4 linked regions of the Saccharomyces cerevisiae S288C genome follow. The gene in region 2 interacts genetically with the main gene of each other region. Each region holds a gene or a part of one and is shown on either strand. Other genes may lie near its edges. The genes, in order: CRC1, YNL035C, YCR051W and YOR387C.

Evidence for each region.
Region 1: mutations in YNL035C (region 2) and CRC1 together harm fitness more than expected from each alone (negative genetic interaction), as found in Saccharomyces cerevisiae (one large-scale study listed by BioGRID).
Region 3: mutations in YNL035C (region 2) and YCR051W impair growth when combined (synthetic growth defect), as found in Saccharomyces cerevisiae (one study listed by BioGRID).
Region 4: mutations in YNL035C (region 2) and YOR387C together harm fitness more than expected from each alone (negative genetic interaction), as found in Saccharomyces cerevisiae (one large-scale study listed by BioGRID).

The regions. Positions count from the first base shown.
Region 1 is NC_001147.6:512,750-516,256, forward strand, and holds CRC1 (carnitine:acyl carnitine antiporter), read right to left. Parts: upstream 1,530-3,507; coding exon 546-1,529; downstream 1-545. Other genes in the region: alpha-1,2-mannosyltransferase KTR1, read left to right, coding at 1-257; Ras family GTPase RAS1, read left to right, coding at 2,495-3,424. UniProt on the Saccharomyces cerevisiae protein: Transports carnitine, acetylcarnitine, propionylcarnitine and to a much lower extent medium- and long-chain acylcarnitines.
Region 2 is NC_001146.8:566,529-572,991, forward strand, and holds YNL035C (uncharacterized protein), read right to left. Parts: upstream 3,164-6,463; coding exon 1,994-3,163; downstream 1-1,993. Other genes in the region: YNL034W (uncharacterized protein), read left to right, coding at 3,949-5,787.
Region 3 is NC_001135.5:210,803-216,503, forward strand, and holds YCR051W (uncharacterized protein), read left to right. Parts: upstream 1-3,268; coding exon 3,269-3,937; downstream 3,938-5,701. Other genes in the region: BUD23 (18S rRNA (guanine1575-N7)-methyltransferase), read right to left, coding at 1-743; ARE1 (sterol acyltransferase), read left to right, coding at 1,127-2,959; YCR050C (uncharacterized protein), read right to left, coding at 2,662-2,970; RSC6 (Rsc6p), read left to right, coding at 4,192-5,643.
Region 4 is NC_001147.6:1,067,649-1,073,297, forward strand, and holds YOR387C (uncharacterized protein), read right to left. Parts: upstream 2,594-5,649; coding exon 1,973-2,593; downstream 1-1,972. Other genes in the region: deoxyribodipyrimidine photo-lyase PHR1, read left to right, coding at 1-888; FDH1 (formate dehydrogenase (NAD+)), read right to left, coding at 4,145-5,275.

The sequences.
Region 1 (3,507 bases), on a different chromosome or scaffold from region 2:
GATGGGGTGATGCTCCAGTTCATTCTATTGGTGCTGCGCTGTTCTTGGACCGCTCTGAAATCCATCACTTCGGTGATATTGGTTATTACCATGTTCCATTTCACTCCTGTCCAATAGACACAAGTATCAGACTGGCTAACAAATGTGACTGTGATCCAAGCAAAGATTTCACATGGCACAGTTATTCATGTACTACTAAATTCTACAATATAAACAAGTTGCCAAAGCCTGCTGGTTGGCAAAACCATATCGGTTGATTATACTGTAATCAGCCCACGTTGTCTTTGTATTTTCCACTTTTTTTATTTATACTATTTAAAGAAACAGAATAAATTATAACTCTTTTTTTTACATATCACATTTATATTTACTCCATTGCGTTACAAATATGAACGCTTCGACAACAACGCCAAGGAAACCGGGATAACCCAACTGATATTTTCTACCATACACTGAACGAAATTGCAGAACCAAAAAATAACAAAAAGTTCCCAAAAGGAATGCCAGAAAAAAATGGGAGGCAGGTCCACCTAACAAAAATTTAATCATATGCCATACTTCTTGAACAGTGAATGAGTCATCTCCACACCTAAAAATGTGGCCGCATTGGCTGGGAAAGATCTTAGTAAAGCAGGACCTAAACCAGGGAAAAATCCCTTGATACCACCTCTTTGTAGATAAATTTCCTTTGTGGCGGAAAGCATATTCTGCCTCGTGGAGGAAGCCTGCAATTTTGTCTTTATAGTGTCTATGGGGAAAACAGCTAGCCACATCGACATACCAGCAATACCACCAGCAAGACACACGTTCAAGATATTGACCGGTTCATCTTTGCCCGCATCTTGACGAGGTTGCCTACTATTCAAGTAATTTTTTGAAATTTCATAAGATGCAAAATATAGAGCTGAGCCAGGCCCATCTCTTGCTAAAGTGGCTAATGAACCTTTAAATAAAGAAGCTATGCCACCTTCTTTAACAATGGTTTTAGCCGCCTGAATGAAAGAGCCCTTAGAAGATGTTTGCAGGACAACCTTTACTCTTTCCGTTGGCGCAGTCACTAAAGTGGTAGGAATAGCGCTGATAAATCCTGCTGCAGCCATTTGTCCCATAGTTAACTCGTTACTGCCTCCTTGCTTGTTATTAAAAGTAACCAGTTTCTTACCCACATCGTAACCCCAGAAAGAAACAGCGAATATGGGAGTAACACCTAATAAGGGCGGGATAACACCTTTATAGAACCCCTTTACGGAATTGGTAAATAATGTGCCCTTTACTTGAGTTTTTGCTTCTTTTATAATATTTGTAATGGCATGTACCGTGGAATTCGCTTGTCCATTTTGACATCTCACTTTAATCAAATCGAAGGGATGACCCGTAAACACCGCACATACCCCGCCAACTCCACCGGCCACAAATGATTTGATATTTTCGCGTACAGGGTTTGATTTTATAGGTGGACGAGACTTGGTCAAGCTCCCACTCTCTTCTTTCAATAATGAAGATTCTGATAATGAAGTGTCTGAAGACATTACTGACACGATGACGTTTGTGGAGGATAAGAAAGTCGTACAATACGTAGAATCCAAGGAAAACCTGGAATAAAAACACACATAGAGCGCAATTGAATATCGGCTATTTCTACAGTACAAGCGTCTGCCTATATATGCGCTTGAAATATATCTATTTCGACTAAAGGAATTATACCATCATGCATCTTTACTCTTAAATCTCCATTTGTCCACCGACTTATTGCGGCAAGTGGAGATCCAGTCACGCCGGATGACTGGGTGTAGATAAATAGCCGCCCAACTGATCCCTGCATAAAGCTTATATGCGGATATTAGGAGCAGTAACCCGATGACATTAAGCGTGTAGCCACAAGGAACTTCACCATTACTCATAGCAGAAAAAGCAGTGACCAAAAAATGGCAGGAATGACTCTTTTCTGTTTCCCCTCATATACACTGAAACATCTCGATATAAAGCATGCCCTTTATTGTACCATCAATGCAATGTAACGGCAAACGAGGCTAGGAATATGTATTACCCGCACTGAATTGCTTCTTCACTTAGCACACCCTTGATCGCTATGTTCTACGCTGCTACCCGTTCGGTAGGGAGTGGCGGGGAAATTCACATTGGCACAATGTAAACCCGTAGGAAAAAAAAAAAGCACGAAGAAAAAAAAAGAAACCAAAAATATTTACTACATGTAAGTCTATGGACATTTGACAACAAACTTTTTCAACTCATCGCAAGATTATGAATTTTTCACGGCTTTTCAGGTTTTTTCCTCCTTTTGTTTTACATTGAAAGGTTTATATTTTATGTCTTTGTATGGTTCTCTTAATTTGGATTCTTTCTTGTACGGTGTCTCTATTATCATCTGTCTTGTTCTTTCTTGCAATGCTTAATTAACTGCTGCCACAATTGACTTCGGTTTGGCTATTTCACGATTGAACAGGTAAACAAAATTTTCCCTTTTTAGAACGACATGCAGGGAAATAAATCAACTATAAGAGAGTATAAGATAGTAGTTGTCGGTGGAGGTGGCGTTGGTAAATCTGCTTTAACAATTCAATTCATTCAATCATACTTTGTGGACGAATATGACCCTACTATCGAAGATTCTTACAGAAAACAAGTTGTCATCGATGACAAAGTATCCATTTTGGACATTCTAGATACTGCTGGACAAGAAGAGTATTCTGCGATGAGAGAACAGTACATGAGGACTGGGGAAGGTTTCCTACTGGTCTATTCCGTCACCTCTAGAAATTCCTTTGATGAGTTACTGTCTTATTATCAGCAAATTCAAAGAGTAAAAGATTCTGACTACATTCCTGTAGTCGTGGTAGGTAACAAATTGGACCTTGAAAATGAAAGACAAGTCTCTTATGAAGACGGGTTACGCCTGGCCAAGCAGTTGAATGCACCCTTTCTAGAAACGTCTGCGAAACAAGCCATCAACGTAGACGAGGCCTTTTATAGCCTTATTCGTTTGGTAAGGGACGACGGTGGGAAATACAATAGCATGAATCGTCAACTGGATAATACGAATGAAATAAGAGATTCGGAGCTAACCTCATCTGCAACAGCGGATAGAGAAAAAAAGAACAACGGGTCTTATGTACTCGATAATTCTTTGACCAATGCTGGCACTGGCTCCAGTTCAAAGTCAGCCGTTAACCATAACGGTGAAACTACTAAACGAACTGATGAAAAGAATTACGTTAATCAAAACAATAACAATGAAGGAAATACCAAGTACTCCAGTAACGGCAACGGAAATCGAAGTGATATTAGTCGTGGTAATCAAAATAATGCCTTAAATTCGAGAAGTAAACAGTCTGCTGAGCCACAAAAAAATTCAAGCGCCAACGCTAGAAAAGAATCTAGTGGTGGTTGTTGTATAATTTGTTGAAAATGATCCTGCTCTCTTGATATGACATGGTTTTGATTGCAAGTCTATTCTTACTTGTTCAATTGGTTTCACCAGCATCTTTT
Region 2 (6,463 bases):
GGTTTTGAACTATTTGTTCTCTGATAATTACGAGTTGTAACCTTTGTGTTAGTCGTGTTTGGAGATGTGCGAGAAACATTTTTGTATTCGCTGTGTTGTTTGTATTGGGACGGTTTATTTAGATTCATGATTTTATTTTCGTCATATATTAACTGAATTTCAGCGAATAATTGGGAAAGTTTCATGTTCGTTTTGGTACGATATTGATTACGTAGGTATTTGAAGTCACCGGATAGACCTTTAAGTATTAGTTGACAGGCCAATCTGTCGCTAACATTGATATTGTTTTCTTTTAGCCTCTGAATGATCGTACTGACTGTAATTTCAAATGTATCAGCAGATGTACTTCCGTCGTACTCAAGGTTGGCAAGAGCTATCCAATCCTTTAATTCTTGATTGTTAGTTTGCATTTTGGACACACTTTTACAAAGGACTGTAAGGATGTCAGCATAATTAATTTCTAAAATTTGTTTTACCCATGTTGGCAATAAATGAAATGGGGCAAATGCTTGGAAGGTATTGTATATATACGCATGTTCTTCATAAGTCATTTGTCTTTTGATTTCACCCTGGTCATTTGGAATGATGTCACCGAGATTAGAGTTCTTCAAAAATCTGATGTAAAATTTAACCCATGTAGAAAAGTTTTCTTCTGATGTTAAAGTGTGTGGTGGTAAGACGTTATTTCCCACCTTTGTCTTAGCTTGAGGTATTTCAGAGTGTTGATTTTTTAAATCGATTGGATCAGGTGAGGAAGTACTCAGTGGTGGGATATACCGTGGCAACGGATAGTGTGGGTCCGGTTGATAATACGCAGGTGACGTTTGATAATGTGAACACGTCATCATAGATGGTTGTTGGTAATGTGCCCAGTTAGAGGCCATAGCTTTGTTTGGGGTCATCATGCCGTGCTGTTGGTACTGTCCATTCTGTGGAGGTGGTACTGAAGCAGGTTGAGGAGAGACATGATGATGGTTCTCTGGAACAGCTGATGTCCCAGGTGTTGTCTCTTGTTGAGAATTAACCTTAGTGGAATCTCTATCAAATTCCGGTAAATTGGAAGCTGAAACGGCTAACGGATCTTGATTTGATGGGACTTCCTTAGAAGTAACCGAAGCATAGGCGCTACCATGAAGAAAAATGTGGATTTTGATGTAATTGTTGGGATTCCATTTTTTATAAGGCAATAATATTAGGTATGTAGATATACTAGAAGTTCTCCTCGAGGATTTAGGAATCCATAAAAGGGAATCTGCAATTCTATACAATTCTATAAATATTATTATCATCATTTTATATGTTAATATTCATTGATCCTATTACATTATCAATCCTTGCGTTTCAGCTTCCACTAATTTAGATGACTATTTCTCATCATTTGCGTCATCTTCTAACACCGTATATGATAATATACTAGTAACGTAAATACTAGTTAGTAGATGATAGTTGATTTTTATTCCAACACATTCCAATACCACTGATAAGTACATTCTGCATGTCTATTTATAAAACCTTCTTTAAGACAAATATGCTATTTATCCTTTGATAACAATTTCCTGTGAGACAGAAATCACCATAAAATAATCGGGCGTGTGGTCTAGTGGTATGATTCTCGCTTTGGGCGACTTCCTGCCTAAACAGGAAGACAAAGCATGCGAGAGGCCCTGGGTTCAATTCCCAGCTCGCCCCTTTATATTTTTTCACCATCAACGTGGTGTTTCACTTATTCCTTTTCTAGTATTTTTTTTCCACCTTATAGAAGCGTGCACGTTTAATGCTGGAGATAAAAAAAAAAAATGCATTAATACTCTATATAGCAGAAATATAGTTGTTATAACATTGTACCAACAAAAGAAGCCCTATGAAGATAAACTATGATCTAGAAGTATCAACTTGTTTGGAATGTATGCTTCGTTTTTTAAGTTATAGAGTAGTTCTGCCGAAATCTCTTGCAGATGTTAGGCATCTCTTTAGATGTATTGTCTTTATGAAACTAGTATGGTTTGAAACGACTTTTCATGGAATGTTTCTTGGCTTTCTTGTGTTTCTCCTTCCTTGGCCTCGTGGAAACCGATTCTTTTTGAATAATAAGAGGTTCGTCTAAATTAATGGAACCTTCTCTGTCGTCATCTCCTAAGACGTTCATTTTTTTAGAGTAATCCCAAAAATTTTCTGGAATATCTAACGGCCCCTGTTTGTTTTCCCAAATTTTAACGCAACCATCTTCACCACAGGAGTATAACATGTTGCTATGTTGTGCTGGTATAAAAATATCTCTGACGACCTCGTCTCCATGGGCGTGTGGGATAACAATACCGTTTTCAGTATCCACCTTCTCATCTTTAAATGGTAGGAGGCACAACTCTCCACAATTTTCTTGGGTTTTACCGGTTGCAATGAGTCCAGGGTAAATATCTACCACGTAGTCACAGTTCCATATTTCTCTTACATCACCAAAGTCCAAGGGTTGTGGCTCTTTCAATTCGTCAGATTTGTCGTTCAATTCGTGAATTGCAAATGTTTCCATATGTGATAGTGTAAATATCCTCTTTGGGGACAACCATCCACAGGAATGTATTGACGCATAATTAATAACTTGGTGTAAAGCGTCCTCCTCCTCATCTTGTTTCAAGTCATAAATGTTCGTGTAACCATCAGTTGAACCACTGAGCAAAATATTGACGTCAGAAGGATGAAATTTAATACAGGTAACGTCATCATGGTGAGAGTCAATTAATGATCTCAATGGAGTGTCCCATTTGCGAATATCATATATGTATACAGCAGCGTCAATTCCCTGCAATTCGGTACCACAGGCCAATAGACCATGACGAGAATCTAAGGAAATAAAGGGGGAGTTGGCCTCGTTTTGAATTTGAGCAATGCGGTCATTCGTCCTTATATCGAAAACTTTCACCGCGTCGATAGAGGCGCTACTAACTAGATGACCAGCAGAGAAGTCGCTACCGATGACCTTCATATCATTGATTGCAGTTTCGCTCGCCTTAATCTTTTGTACTGATTTACCAGTACTCCAGTCTAGCAAACGTATTTCGCCATTACTTAATCCAGTTAAAAGACCATGTTTATAACTAGGCTGTAACTTAAGACACCAATTTTCTGACCCGAAAGAATTCGATTCAACTAAAGAATAACTAGCCATGCTCTAGAAGTTAATTTGAGATTCTCGAACTTAAGTAGTTTTTATTTACACAGTAAGACGAGCCAGTGCCTATGTCCTAATGACTGCGTACGTGCACTGTAGTCCCATCTAACATTTTTACAATCTGGACTAAGAAAACTTTTATAAATCACATTGCCAATGCAAAAAAAAAGAATGGTCTCTAGCGGGATCGAACCGCTGATCCCCGCGTTATTAGCACGGTGCCTTAACCAACTGGGCCAAGAGACCACTGTTATCTGTTTTCCACCGTCCCTCCACACTACCAAACCAACGTCACTACTGTGTGCCAGCACCACCGCTCATTATCCCTGTGCCACAAAACTCAACTTACACTGTCATTCGAATTTCCGGCAAACTCCGACTGAGAAATGTTCGTACTACTTCCTTTCTAGGGCACATTGAGGAAAAACTCATTGAATGCACCCTTTACAAATCTTAATATCTCTGACGTTTGTATTGTATTAACCAAGCAACCCTCCCTGTGCAAGTAGAAGCCCTGGATCCTTTGTGGTCGTAAAATGAACAAATACCAATAAGACGAAAACAAAAACAAAAACAAAACGACATAGCAACAATGCGGAATTATTTAAGGCTGGCACTCTTTCCGCATGTTTATCACAATTATTTCCACTTTCACTTAAAACCTTGTTTAAGCTTGGCCTACACCACAGGAAAAAAAACCATCCGATCTAATCTTCAAATATCAATTTGAGGTTGAAAAAATTTGCTAAAGCGTTGGTCTAATTTTGTTTTTCGCCCACATAATGTCTACATCTTTCCAGGAGTTCAAGGCCTTTTGCAACAAGGTTGGGCTAGACTTTCAATGGCTTAATTTGCAATCCTCCAAGTCTGTTCCCGAAAGCGGTTCCTCTGAAGGTTTCTCAGCCGTCAGTGATACCGTACAAGAAAACATCAGACCAGCTACGGAACCACTTAACGTCAACCAGTCCAAAGATCCTGTCAGCAACTTTTTTTATGATGTCAAGAATGCTCCGCTCTGGAACGTGTATAAGAGGAATCATTCCGGTCATTCTTCTACTGAGGCTTGCTCTGGAGTAAGTTCAGGGCAAGCGTCAAAAAACATACCCGAGGCAATGGTAAAAGAGACAGTCCTTTCTAATCACGACAATGTCACCATAATAAACGAATTACTGCCAACGTCTTCTGCCATGCACCAGGAAGAAAGCACCGCTATGACAACCTCCTACCTCTTATCCCACTCCGTAAATGATAGTTGCAACGTAATGCTTTCTTCCTCCTCCCACAACCGTGCTATGCTCCCACCTTCTCTTGTGCAAAGAAATAACGCTACCACATCTCCCACAACAGACTCTGCGTCAGAAAACAACGAATCGGTACCCTCACTAACCTCATCTGTTAGCACATCCTCATCAGTTTATTCGTCATGGAATCCTCCTCATTCTCCCCACATATCGTCATTTCCAGACGGCAATTTCGCATCGCTTAACGCAGAAGTGACTTGCTTTGATTTCCGCCGCACCAAGGACTCCAGAACAAAAGAGACGAATGAATCTATCATTCCAACTGAAATTTACTGCCCAATAAATTCCACTGATCACCACAAACATTATCCAAGCCAAAAATCTAAACAAGATGCCTGCGCTCCTGCTCCCCGCAATCAAAATATAAGCTGCAGCGTCGGGTCCGCAGCGGAATTTTCCCAGTCTAACCACACGTTGACTACTGTAGTTCCTTCATACATGCAACAGTACCTTGACAGGCCACAGAACTGGTTTGAAAGCAAAATGGGAAAATACTGTCCACTCTTTCTGAGAAGTACAAAGAACATTGACTACGATTCCCTCGAATTTAAATTTGAGCGCAAGATGATAGCTGTTCAATACCTGCTTTTAGACGAACAATCTGAGCCCAGAAGGTACTACAATCCCTCAAATAAAAGTATTCCATTCTGGAAGAGACCCTTCAACTTCGATACAATGCCCAGCTACGACCAACTTATGGAGGAAGCAGAGTGCCGTTTTTATTCATACCAATACAAATACGAAGGTTTCCAGAGGATTGAGCCCTACTCCATTTTTTGTCCCTGGAAAAACACACAAAGAGAAATAGATCTGGTTCTTGATCACATTCATTTTTCTCTCGATGTCGGCGAGAAGAAGTCTTTAAACCGAAAAGGAAACATCACTCTCGATACTTTAGACAGTAAGGTCGATCCTAACATTCAGATCAAGCCGTATCAGATTTTTCCGTCCAACAACCTAGTATACGAAGGCTTACCGCATCCCGCCGAACAATCCTTAATTTTGAGTCCTGGCACCTCCCTCATTGAGAGGGCGTTTCAGGCACTGATAGACATATGCAAGGAATCTATTCCACCTTCTAATGACTGTACTACCCGCAACCATAATAGCGCTCCTCAGCTTACCGTGCCAGAACCATCTAAACCATGCCGGCTACTACTTGTTCGTGAGTCTCGCACAGCAACAGAACTAGAAACTAACAAAAAGCTCTGGCTCCACTCACAGAGAAGGAATATCGAAGTGACCGTACCAATGCATCCTTCTGAGCATGGGACAAAAAGCCGGTTACGAAAATGGCTCTCAACTTTTGTACATCAGTGAACCGTCAGAAGTTCCGATAGTTCGAACTGTTTGGCACGGCTGACGAAATACTTTTAACGAGCAAGTTAGTCTACACATAACTTCGTACTTACCACCGTTTTCTTCTGGCGCGCCTCTTCAAGTAGACTACCACTTCCCTCTTGTAATAGTTGTTATATATGTTTTCATAGTCTGATTTAAATTTTACGCATATTCATCAATTAACCCAATGCACCAAAAAGGCGGGAAAGAAGCAGTAAAGCAAAGGCCTTTGCCAAGCCTTCTTATCGACAGAAGCAGCCTCAAAAGGTTCCTTCGAGAGCGGCGCGCGTATTTATTCACATCGCGAATCACTGGACCCTTAAAATAAAGGCGCCTATTCACGACATCTGCCACAGAAACAACTGTTCAGTTATCCTAGCAGCAGTTTTTGCACAACGGTATAAACCTGTACAAAACTTTAGCAAGGTTTTTTAACAACAAAAGTGCTTGAGGGACACAACACAAACTATAGAACAGACACTGTTTTCCTGACACTGCTTTCCTGACAAGAGACTCGTTTCTGAATTATTTTTTTTTTCAAGCATCTTTGTTTCGCTGGAACCATTGAGTCTTTTCTTCCATTTTTAATCTTTATTCTGCCTCCTTTCCTAAACACAAGTTGATACAACGAGGCTGTCAATAGCAAGAGCGTGCG
Region 3 (5,701 bases), on a different chromosome or scaffold from region 2:
CTTAGAATGAAACTCTTGGCAGACTCCTTGTCTTTGCCTCCCTTCAAGCGCTGGCGCAGTTGTTTCTTCAAGTTGACGTTCTCCTCGTCCATGGTCACACCGTCCAAATTCACCTGCTCCTCCCCCTGCGGTGGGGCCCCACTGCTCAACACAAGGTAGTACTTCTTATTCTTTTTAGACTCTGGGTCGTCCACCACAAGCCCGCCACTGAACCCTGCCACCTTGGCAGACTGCAGTATGTCGTCCACCTGGTCGTCGTTTTTCGGGTAGAACTGGGCCACAAATTTCCCTCCCTTCTTCAGTGCAGCATACAATGTGTTGAAAAACCTCATCAACCGCTGTTTAGGATCGTTGTATGAAGTGTCCGCATTGCACAGCCATTGGATCGCACTGATACTAATAGCCGCGTCAAACGAGCCCGCCCGGAACGGTATCCCGGTGCCCATATCCTGCAACATCAAGTCGCCCTCCAGCTCTCTACTAAGACCGGTCGCAAGCATGCTGGGCGATATATCCAAACCACACCACACATGGTCTCCCTCCTGCGTCAAAATCTCCCCAGACAGTCCGGACCCGCACCCGATATCCAGAATGAAACTGCACGGCTGCAGATTCAAAAGCTCCAACGCCCTCAGCGTCATCTTCGCCTGGATATGCTGCACTCTGGTCGAACCCGTGTACTTGTGTGCTTCGCTATCATTATAGAAAATCTCCGGTGGTGCCAACTCCTCAGGACGTGACATTATTTCTTCTCTGATATATTTCCTGTGTTTCCGTACCGCACCTTTTTAGCACTACTTTTTTACTATGCTCTTCTTCTTCTGCTTCTTCTGCTTTTTTCCTCTTTATCACACTATGTATGTGCTGCTCATCTCTTCTTTTTATCGATAAAATTGAAAAATGTGAGATGGTGTAGAGTGAAAAAAAAAAAAAAATCTGGCTTGGCCATCAAATACCCGGCCGTGGTTGGACTCGTTTAGCGAACAATAGCACCCAGCAGACCCTGGCAACATGCGGATGATATAAGAAGGACGAGCGTGGTGGAGGAAAGGGGCGCCATTGGCACACTCACGCAGGTGGTTGTTCAGCACGGCTTGCAGCAAGAGCGCCAAAACAGATTGCAAGAATGACGGAGACTAAGGATTTGTTGCAAGACGAAGAGTTTCTTAAGATCCGCAGACTCAATTCCGCAGAAGCCAACAAACGGCATTCGGTCACGTACGATAACGTGATCCTGCCACAGGAGTCCATGGAGGTTTCGCCACGGTCGTCTACCACGTCGCTGGTGGAGCCAGTGGAGTCGACTGAAGGAGTGGAGTCGACTGAGGCGGAACGTGTGGCAGGGAAGCAGGAGCAGGAGGAGGAGTACCCTGTGGACGCCCACATGCAAAAGTACCTTTCACACCTGAAGAGCAAGTCTCGGTCGAGGTTCCACCGAAAGGATGCTAGCAAGTATGTGTCGTTTTTTGGGGACGTGAGTTTTGATCCTCGCCCCACGCTCCTGGACAGCGCCATCAACGTGCCCTTCCAGACGACTTTCAAAGGTCCGGTGCTGGAGAAACAGCTCAAAAATTTACAGTTGACAAAGACCAAGACCAAGGCCACGGTGAAGACTACGGTGAAGACTACGGAGAAAACGGACAAGGCAGATGCCCCCCCAGGAGAAAAACTGGAGTCGAACTTTTCAGGGATCTACGTGTTCGCATGGATGTTCTTGGGCTGGATAGCCATCAGGTGCTGCACAGATTACTATGCGTCGTACGGCAGTGCATGGAATAAGCTGGAAATCGTGCAGTACATGACAACGGACTTGTTCACGATCGCAATGTTGGACTTGGCAATGTTCCTGTGCACTTTCTTCGTGGTTTTCGTGCACTGGCTGGTGAAAAAGCGGATCATCAACTGGAAGTGGACTGGGTTCGTTGCAGTGAGCATCTTCGAGTTGGCTTTCATCCCCGTGACGTTCCCCATTTACGTCTACTACTTTGATTTCAACTGGGTCACGAGAATCTTCCTGTTCCTGCACTCCGTGGTGTTTGTTATGAAGAGCCACTCGTTTGCCTTTTACAACGGGTATCTTTGGGACATAAAGCAGGAACTCGAGTACTCTTCCAAACAGTTGCAAAAATACAAGGAATCTTTGTCCCCAGAGACCCGCGAGATTCTGCAAAAAAGTTGCGACTTTTGCCTTTTCGAATTGAACTACCAGACCAAGGATAACGACTTCCCCAACAACATCAGTTGCAGCAATTTCTTCATGTTCTGTTTGTTCCCCGTCCTCGTGTACCAGATCAACTACCCAAGAACGTCGCGCATCAGATGGAGGTATGTGTTGGAGAAGGTGTGCGCCATCATTGGCACCATCTTCCTCATGATGGTCACGGCACAGTTCTTCATGCACCCGGTGGCCATGCGCTGTATCCAGTTCCACAACACGCCCACCTTCGGCGGCTGGATCCCCGCCACGCAAGAGTGGTTCCACCTGCTCTTCGACATGATTCCGGGCTTCACTGTTCTGTACATGCTCACGTTTTACATGATATGGGACGCTTTATTGAATTGCGTGGCGGAGTTGACCAGGTTTGCGGACAGATATTTCTACGGCGACTGGTGGAATTGCGTTTCGTTTGAAGAGTTTAGCAGAATCTGGAACGTCCCCGTTCACAAATTTTTACTAAGACACGTGTACCACAGCTCCATGGGCGCATTGCATTTGAGCAAGAGCCAAGCTACATTATTTACTTTTTTCTTGAGTGCCGTGTTCCACGAAATGGCCATGTTCGCCATTTTCAGAAGGGTTAGAGGATATCTGTTCATGTTCCAACTGTCGCAGTTTGTGTGGACTGCTTTGAGCAACACCAAGTTTCTACGGGCAAGACCGCAGTTGTCCAACGTTGTCTTTTCGTTTGGTGTCTGTTCAGGGCCCAGTATCATTATGACGTTGTACCTGACCTTATGAACTGCCACCATACCACGTGTGTCCCTCGCAAGCCCTTGATAGATATACAATAGGGAATGGGCGTCCGCTCCACCGTGGTCAAAGACAGGGGCAAAGAGCTCCTAGGTCTATATATATATCTATATACATATTTATATATATTATTAGAACTTTACAATATAGTATATACCATTCATTGTTTAAGTTTCGGGTAATACTTTTTTTTTCCTTGTCATAACCCCAAAAATTTTCGATGCCTTTGATATAATTGAGAACAAGAAGAGTTTGCAGGTGACAAAAATCGATGATTATAGGTGTTGTGACGACAAAATGAACGCTAATATATGGGTGGCTGCTTCAGATGGTAATTTGGACCGAGTGGAACATATCCTCCGCGAGAGTAAAGGCGCCATGACCCCGCAATCCAAGGACATTAACGGCTACACTCCAATGCATGCTGCCGCCGCATACGGCCACCTGGATTTGCTGAAGAAAATGTGCAATGAGTACAATGGAGACATTAATGTGTTGGACAACGACGGCGATACCCCGTTGCACCATGTGGAGGATGTGGCCACTGCCAGGTTGATCGTGGAAGAGCTGGGTGGAGACTTCACTATCAGGAATGTGGAGGGCCAAACGCCATACGACTCGTTCGTCGAGAACGGTGAAGATGGTGAGCTAATCGAGTACATGAGGATTAAGTCCGGCGTGGCCGATGTTCACGGAGTGGACGGCGTGCAGGGTGAGGGTGTCATCGACAGCAAATTGCTGGAAGAGTTCAAGGACAACGTGAGATACACCTTGGAAAATGACCCTGAGGAAGGAGCCGATGAGGCCACTCTGCAACGCAGGAGGCAGTTGGAACAGATCATTACGGGAGACAACGCTGAGGAGGAGTTGGAAAGGTACATCCGTGCTATGGTCAGAGAGCAGATGCTGGGCCAGGGCTCCATGGCGGGTTCCGGGGACGAACCAGATTCCAAGAGAAGAAAATAACGACCCAGCACAAAGGCTCTTACAGCTTGCTAAAAGAAATTGAACGCGACGCTACATGAACTACTTCTTTCTCTTACATAGTCTTTTCCCTTATGTATCTTTTCTGTACATTAATAGACGTTCTTACAAGGTAAAATTTCACCGCGTTTTTAAATAGAATGAAAAAAACGTTGTAGAGTGAAAGAAAAGCAACAAATATACAGTTCACAAGGCAGCTTCGTATAGTAATACAGCACGAAAAACAGCTCATAGAAATGGTAACACAGACCAATCCGGTCCCTGTTACATATCCAACGGATGCTTATATCCCCACGTATCTGCCCGATGATAAGGTCTCCAATCTGGCAGATTTGAAAAAATTGATAGAAATGGATTCCAGACTAGATTTGTATCTGACAAGAAGGAGGCTGGATACGTCCATCAATTTACCTACAAACACCAAGACCAAGGACCATCCCCCCAATAAAGAGATGCTGAGGATTTACGTCTACAACACTACGGAAAGCAGCCCTCGCAGCGATTCTGGCACCCCAGCGGACTCAGGCAAGACTACATGGACACTGAGAATAGAAGGTAAGCTTCTGCACGAGTCCGCAAACGGAAAGCACCCATTTAGTGAGTTTTTGGAAGGTGTCGCGGTCGACTTTAAAAGACTGAAACCGCTGGGCATGGGCAAGAAGAGGAAACGCGATTCGTCATTGAGCCTTCCTTTGAATCTGCAACAACCCGAATACAATGATCAAGATAGCACCATGGGCGATAACGACAACGGCGAGGATGAGGACAGTGCAGAGGCAGAATCCAGGGAGGAAATTGTAGACGCACTGGAATGGAACTACGATGAAAACAACGTTGTGGAGTTTGATGGTATCGACATCAAGAGGCAAGGCAAGGATAATTTGCGATGCAGTATAACCATCCAGTTGAGGGGTGTCGACGGTGGAAAAGTACAGTACTCGCCCAACTTAGCTACCTTGATAGGTATGCAAACGGGCTCCGTTAATGACGCGGTTTATTCGATCTACAAGTACATTTTGATCAACAATCTGTTTGTTACGGAACAAACAGAGGCTCAAGATGGTTCCAACGATGCCGAAGACAGCAGTAACGAGAATAACAATAAAAACGGTGCTGGTGACGATGATGGCGTCGAGGGAAGTACTCCAAAGGATAAGCCCGAATTGGGTGAAGTGAAGCTAGATTCACTCTTACAAAAGGTATTGGATACAAACGCCGCGCACCTCCCCTTGATGAATGTTGTGCAAACCGTGAACAAACTGGTATCACCCCTACCGCCCATCATCCTAGATTATACAATTGATCTTTCCAAAGATACCACCTATGGTGCTACCACCTTGGATGTAGATGTGTCGCACATTCTCCACCAGCCTCAACCCCAGCCAAATTTACAAAAAGAGGAAGAAACAGATGCTGAAGACACAGCAAAACTACGTGAAATCACAAAGCTTGCCTTGCAGTTGAACTCTAGTGCTCAAAAATACCAGTTTTTCCACGAACTGTCTTTGCATCCAAGAGAAACGCTGACTCACTACTTATGGTCTTCCAAGCAAAACGAGCTTGTGCTGCAGGGCGACCAATACTTCAATGAAGATGCTGCAAGAACGAGTGACATATACAGTAACAACAACAATGACAGGTCACTAATGGGCAATATCTCACTACTGTACTCCCAAGGAAGACTATAACATCACTGTATGATCTCATTCTTTCTGCAATTATTGCACGCCTCCTCGTGAGTAGTGA
Region 4 (5,649 bases), on a different chromosome or scaffold from region 2:
GAACCATTAAAGTACAACGAAACTTTTGAACTGAAGCCATTCCAATATTCATTACCGGATGAATTCCTTCAATATATACCTAAATCAAAATGGTGCTTGCCAGACGTTTCTGAAGAAGCAGCTTTATCCAGATTAAAAGATTTCCTCGGTACAAAAAGTTCTAAGTACAACAATGAAAAAGACATGCTATATTTGGGTGGAACCTCTGGGCTAAGTGTATATATAACTACTGGTAGGATAAGCACAAGACTTATAGTCAACCAGGCATTTCAATCATGCAACGGACAAATAATGTCAAAAGCACTGAAAGATAATTCGTCCACCCAAAATTTCATCAAAGAAGTTGCATGGAGAGATTTTTACAGACATTGTATGTGCAACTGGCCATATACCTCAATGGGAATGCCTTATCGATTGGACACTTTAGATATAAAATGGGAGAATAACCCTGTAGCATTTGAAAAGTGGTGTACTGGTAATACAGGCATTCCCATAGTCGATGCCATAATGAGAAAATTACTGTACACAGGCTATATTAATAACAGATCTAGAATGATCACAGCTTCTTTTCTTTCTAAAAACTTATTAATAGATTGGAGATGGGGGGAACGCTGGTTTATGAAACACTTGATAGACGGTGATTCGTCTTCAAATGTTGGTGGCTGGGGTTTTTGTTCTAGTACAGGAATTGATGCCCAACCATATTTTAGAGTTTTTAATATGGATATACAAGCAAAAAAATATGACCCACAAATGATATTCGTCAAACAATGGGTTCCCGAATTGATTTCTTCCGAAAATAAGCGTCCAGAAAACTATCCAAAACCTTTAGTTGATTTAAAGCATAGTAGGGAGCGTGCTTTGAAAGTTTATAAAGACGCAATGTGAGAATAACGTCTCCTGATTAAGCAGGTGTGCTTTAGTAGTTTTGCCGCTTTGCTTGATCACTGTTAGTATTTCGGCAAATTATATGGTATTGGTCGCCTTGCCAGGTTCTTTAGGAAGTTCATCATAAACTAACGCTTTCAAGAATTTACGGAAATGATAGGGTTTATAGTTTTTATAACAGTAGTGGACCTAGAAAACACCGATAGCTGGCGGCGGTTATATCTCATTACTACTATGAAAACTGTGGCTCCTGAGTAGCTACTGAAGGATGTGCCCATCTTAATCCAGACCTAGTCAATACAATCAATACAACTGTCTAGCTGAAAACTGACAAAAAAGTTTGTCGATGTCTCTAGTATATTCACTATAACACTAAATTTTATTGTAAATTATTACACAAGTTTTCAAGAAGAAAAACAATATTAAACACAATAACTAGATTATGCGAGGCACGGCAAAAGGAGTGAAGAGGGCAAAATACGGAGAAGACAATATAGAATAAATTTCTTTTTTTGATTAGAGAAGATTGTTTGCCAGTGACTGTGAACTAATTAAAAGGGAAAAGAGAATGCCTTGGTTAGATTGCTTGGAGCAATAGTCTTACCATGATGATCAGTCGGATTCTGACGACGTTGGGTATTTTAAAACACGCGTAATTGAAAGGGTGATGTTGAGAATGGACCACTTCAAGATATGCTCGAAAATGTAGCTATATTTCACGGATGAATAACTCGTAAGAATGTGCAGTAGCTGATGGACCTAGGAACGATCAAGTCAACGTTGTATTTTGGTTCGGCAAACAATTGATATGATGTTGACAAGAAAACCATCTGCGCTCTAATCTCTAAGTACACGTGCATTTGGACCTATCATCAAAAGAGAATAAGAGGATACTTTCAAGAGAAGTTCAAAAAAGAATCATTATTATGATCCAATGACAGTGACAATAAGATCAACATAAAAAAGAAAAGTCAGAAGTATAAATCTGGGTCTTTTTCTCTAAAATAATTATAGTCTGTTAATTTATAAAACTGCCTAAAAAATATACTTAAAATATGTCTACAGATTATGCAGCTGGAAAAAATCAAGCAAAACCAGCGTCTGGTGGACAAACGGCCTTCAACTGGATGGCGGTACAATAATCTGGTAATGTCTCATTCGCAGCGAAAATGTTCACAGTTGGGGTGCTCAAAATAACAGAAGCAAAGTTTGGGTAACAGGAAGCAACTTGAACGCCATACTGAGTAGAGTTAAACAATTGGTTAGCTAAACCGGTTATGAAGGAAGCATTATCAGCGGTGTCTGCCCAAGAGTTGTATTCAATTTCACCAGTAACAGTGTTAGCAAAAGGAACCATAGCATCACCAATGGATTGAGGGTTACAAGTGTAGATATTGGTGGTGAAGATTAGTGGAGAAAAGTTCTTCGTATCATTGCTAGCAATAGTAGTCAACTTTGGGAGGAATCTTGTTTCCTGGCCCAAATATCTTGCCCAAGCGTCACCAGCGCTTTCAGTTAAAACGTCGGCACCAGCAAACGTAGATTGACCCAAAAATGTACCATTTTGGCCAACGACTTCCATAACGTAGGTACCACAGTGAGGTCCATGTAGGTTATTACAAGTGACGTTAGTCAAATCAAATCTGACGGCTGTTGCAACAGACACAAGGACGCTGAAAAAAGTAAAAATGTTTAGGAAACTCATGGTATGGTTGTTGTTCTTGATTTCTTGAGATTGTACAATCTATCAGAAGCAGTAGCTCTCCATTTTGAATGAAAATTACGATGCTTATATATCAATTATACCTGTTATATGCTGAAAACCTTAATGATTATATTAACCTTTTTCTAGCAACTGAAAATACAGATCTGGAATATGTTTCTATATTTCCAACCTCAGCGGTTATTCGAAAAAAAAATAATTGACCCGCAGGGTGTATAGGTAGTTGATGAAAGTATCATTGTTTTTAATTTATTGTTAAAAGTCCGAAAAGCGAGAATGCATGAAAGTATTACCTTCCATTCCAGGAATAGAAGCAACACTAATTCAAAAGCCCGTTTAGGAAAGATCCGAATATTTTGACAGTAGTACGTAATGAATAACCACTCAGGTGATACTAAGACAAATTTTACAACATTTTAATGTGTTCCTGATTTGATTATGCAACACTTTTTTTGACCCAGTCCAAAAAAACTGCCGTAATATACTTCATTGGTTGTCGTACAAGTAAGCTTTAACATGGTTCTCGAAGTCAAAGCGCAAACATGCGACCAATGGGTCAAAATAATGGTAAGACGCTGCAAAATTCTCTTCACTTAATTGAAAAAAAGTTTCATAATTCATGTCGGACAGATTTATTTCTGGACAATTTGGTTCTGTTGAATTCAGAAATGCTCAGGGTTCATCATGCCATAGTGCCACTTCAATGGAAGACAATACCTTTGAGAAAAAAAGGTACCTTGCATGAGGTATGATGCACGGGTGCACTGTTAAAAAAAAAAAAATTTCAGATGTATTTAAAGACTTTCTAGGCTGGGCGGCTAACAAAAAAGTGATGGAGAGTGAATCAACAGGTGCCAATATGCAGCAAGTGGAACTTTCTGGGGATTTTATTACTGTGATGTTCGACAAATAGTTCAAATAATTATAAGCTAGTGGCTGCATTGGATTATGAAACAGGGAATCAGATATAGGCTTCCCTGGCTTTCCTTCGAAACGTTTGAAGTAGTAAGCGATAACCTATCCCTGAACACTTAACATTATATGGCTCTTTTCTGCAGCAGATACTTTTGGAGTCTTAAAAGCACAATGTTTGAGCCGGCCAGGCGCCCATAATTAGAAATAAAAACTGTTTATAGTGTAGATGATCAGTTGTGATTATGCTACTGTTACAATTAATGAAGTTGATTGCGATCTCTCCTTTTACTGTATCTTTAGTTCTGTTATTAACGACGAGCCAAATTCCAGAAAAACAGTAAGGGAGAAAGACTTTTCCTCTTTATTTGAACCGCTACCGTGAAGATCGTTTACTGCCAAATTTTGACAGCAGATTTTGTATATAGCTACCATATCAGCAGTTTCAATTATTTGATATTAATAAACCGCTCTTCTATTTTTTAAGAGATAACGAAAATTTTGCTTTACAAAATATTTAGCTAAGGTATAAATGTGCTATGGACGAATAGTGGAGAATACGCCAAAACAAGAACAAAAGGAGACCGGAAAACTTCTGCTCACAAATACTCATAATCACTCTTATTTCTTCTGTCCATAAGCTCTGGTGGCATAAGAACCATTCTGCACAATAATATCCTGTGGACGGTAATCAAACTTTTTGGAAAAGTAACTATTTAGGATGTTCTTTACTCCCTGAGCGTACCTCTTTTGAGCATCCAGAGATGTGCCACTGATATGAACAGTCATTGCGTTTCCCACGTGGTCCTTATTGTCCATAGTCCTCCAGGGATGGTCTTTTGGTGCTGGTTGCTTATCCCAGACATCACCACCATAGCCAGCCAATTTACCAGACTTGACTGCCTCGGCAACATCTTCTGCGACACAAATAGCACCTCTAGCGGTATTCACCAAGTATGCACCATCTTTCATGTGGGAAATAAGCTTTTTATTGAATAAACCCCTTGAGTCCTTGTGCAATGGACAGTTGATGGTAACAACATCTGACTGAGCAACCATATCCTCCAATTTCTCTACTCTCTGAACAATATCACCTCTGCCATTGAAAAGCTTGCTGGCCTCGTTCAATCTATTGATTGCTTCCGCAGGTAGTTCCTGGTAGTCGTAGTACAGTAACTTCTTCGGATTAAATGCGACCAATCTTTCCAGAACCCTATATCCAATTCTACCGGCACCTACCGTTGAAATTATTTTGTCTTCCAGATCATACTCATTTTTAGCCACGCCGGCAATATCCCACTCACCATTAATTGCTTGTTGATGACCACCATTATAGTTTCTTATCAAAACCAAAATTGTGGCCATAACGTGCTCTGCGACAGAAACGACGTTAGAACCAGTAACTTCGGTGACCGTGATTTTCCGTTCATTTGCAGCTTCTAAATCGACATGGTCTGAACCGACGCCAGCGGTTACACAGAGCTTCAGGTTAGGAGCTTCTGCAATCCTGTTTCTCGAGATGTAGGCGGGGAAAAAGGGCGTAGTAATGACAATTTCAGCGTCTTTCAACTCCCTGTCTACCGTTGAGGTTGGCTCAGGGTCCTTGTCAATGGTAGTAACCAACTCGTATCCCTGTTCTTCAATGAAATTTCTGATACCAAGTTCATTTTCAATACACCCCAATAACTTTTCCTGCTCTTCAGCATGCTTACCACCTTCGTAAAGAACCAGCAAAACCTTTCCCTTCGACATATTAATTTTCAGCTGTTATTTTGATTTGATTAGCGTTGCAATACTTGTAAATTGTTCCTGCTTAAAATGAATAAAAAAAGCACAATACAAGAATATGCATATTTTACGTAAATGATATATTAACTAAACTTTCCTCAGCAAGAACTCATTAAAAAAGACTCAATTTTGTGCCCTTTTATATGTTCTTTTTTTCAATGATTGACAGTGCAGAGTGATTTCTCCAACTTTTAGTTAACAGTGAATAATCCAAGAATAGTATATTCCGCATAACATCAAAATAGTTTTATTACTGGCATGTCTTTTTCATTCGGAGTTCTAGTATCGGTGCCTTCCTAGTAAGGAAATTCCCGATTATAAGGGAAAAAAAGAAAAGG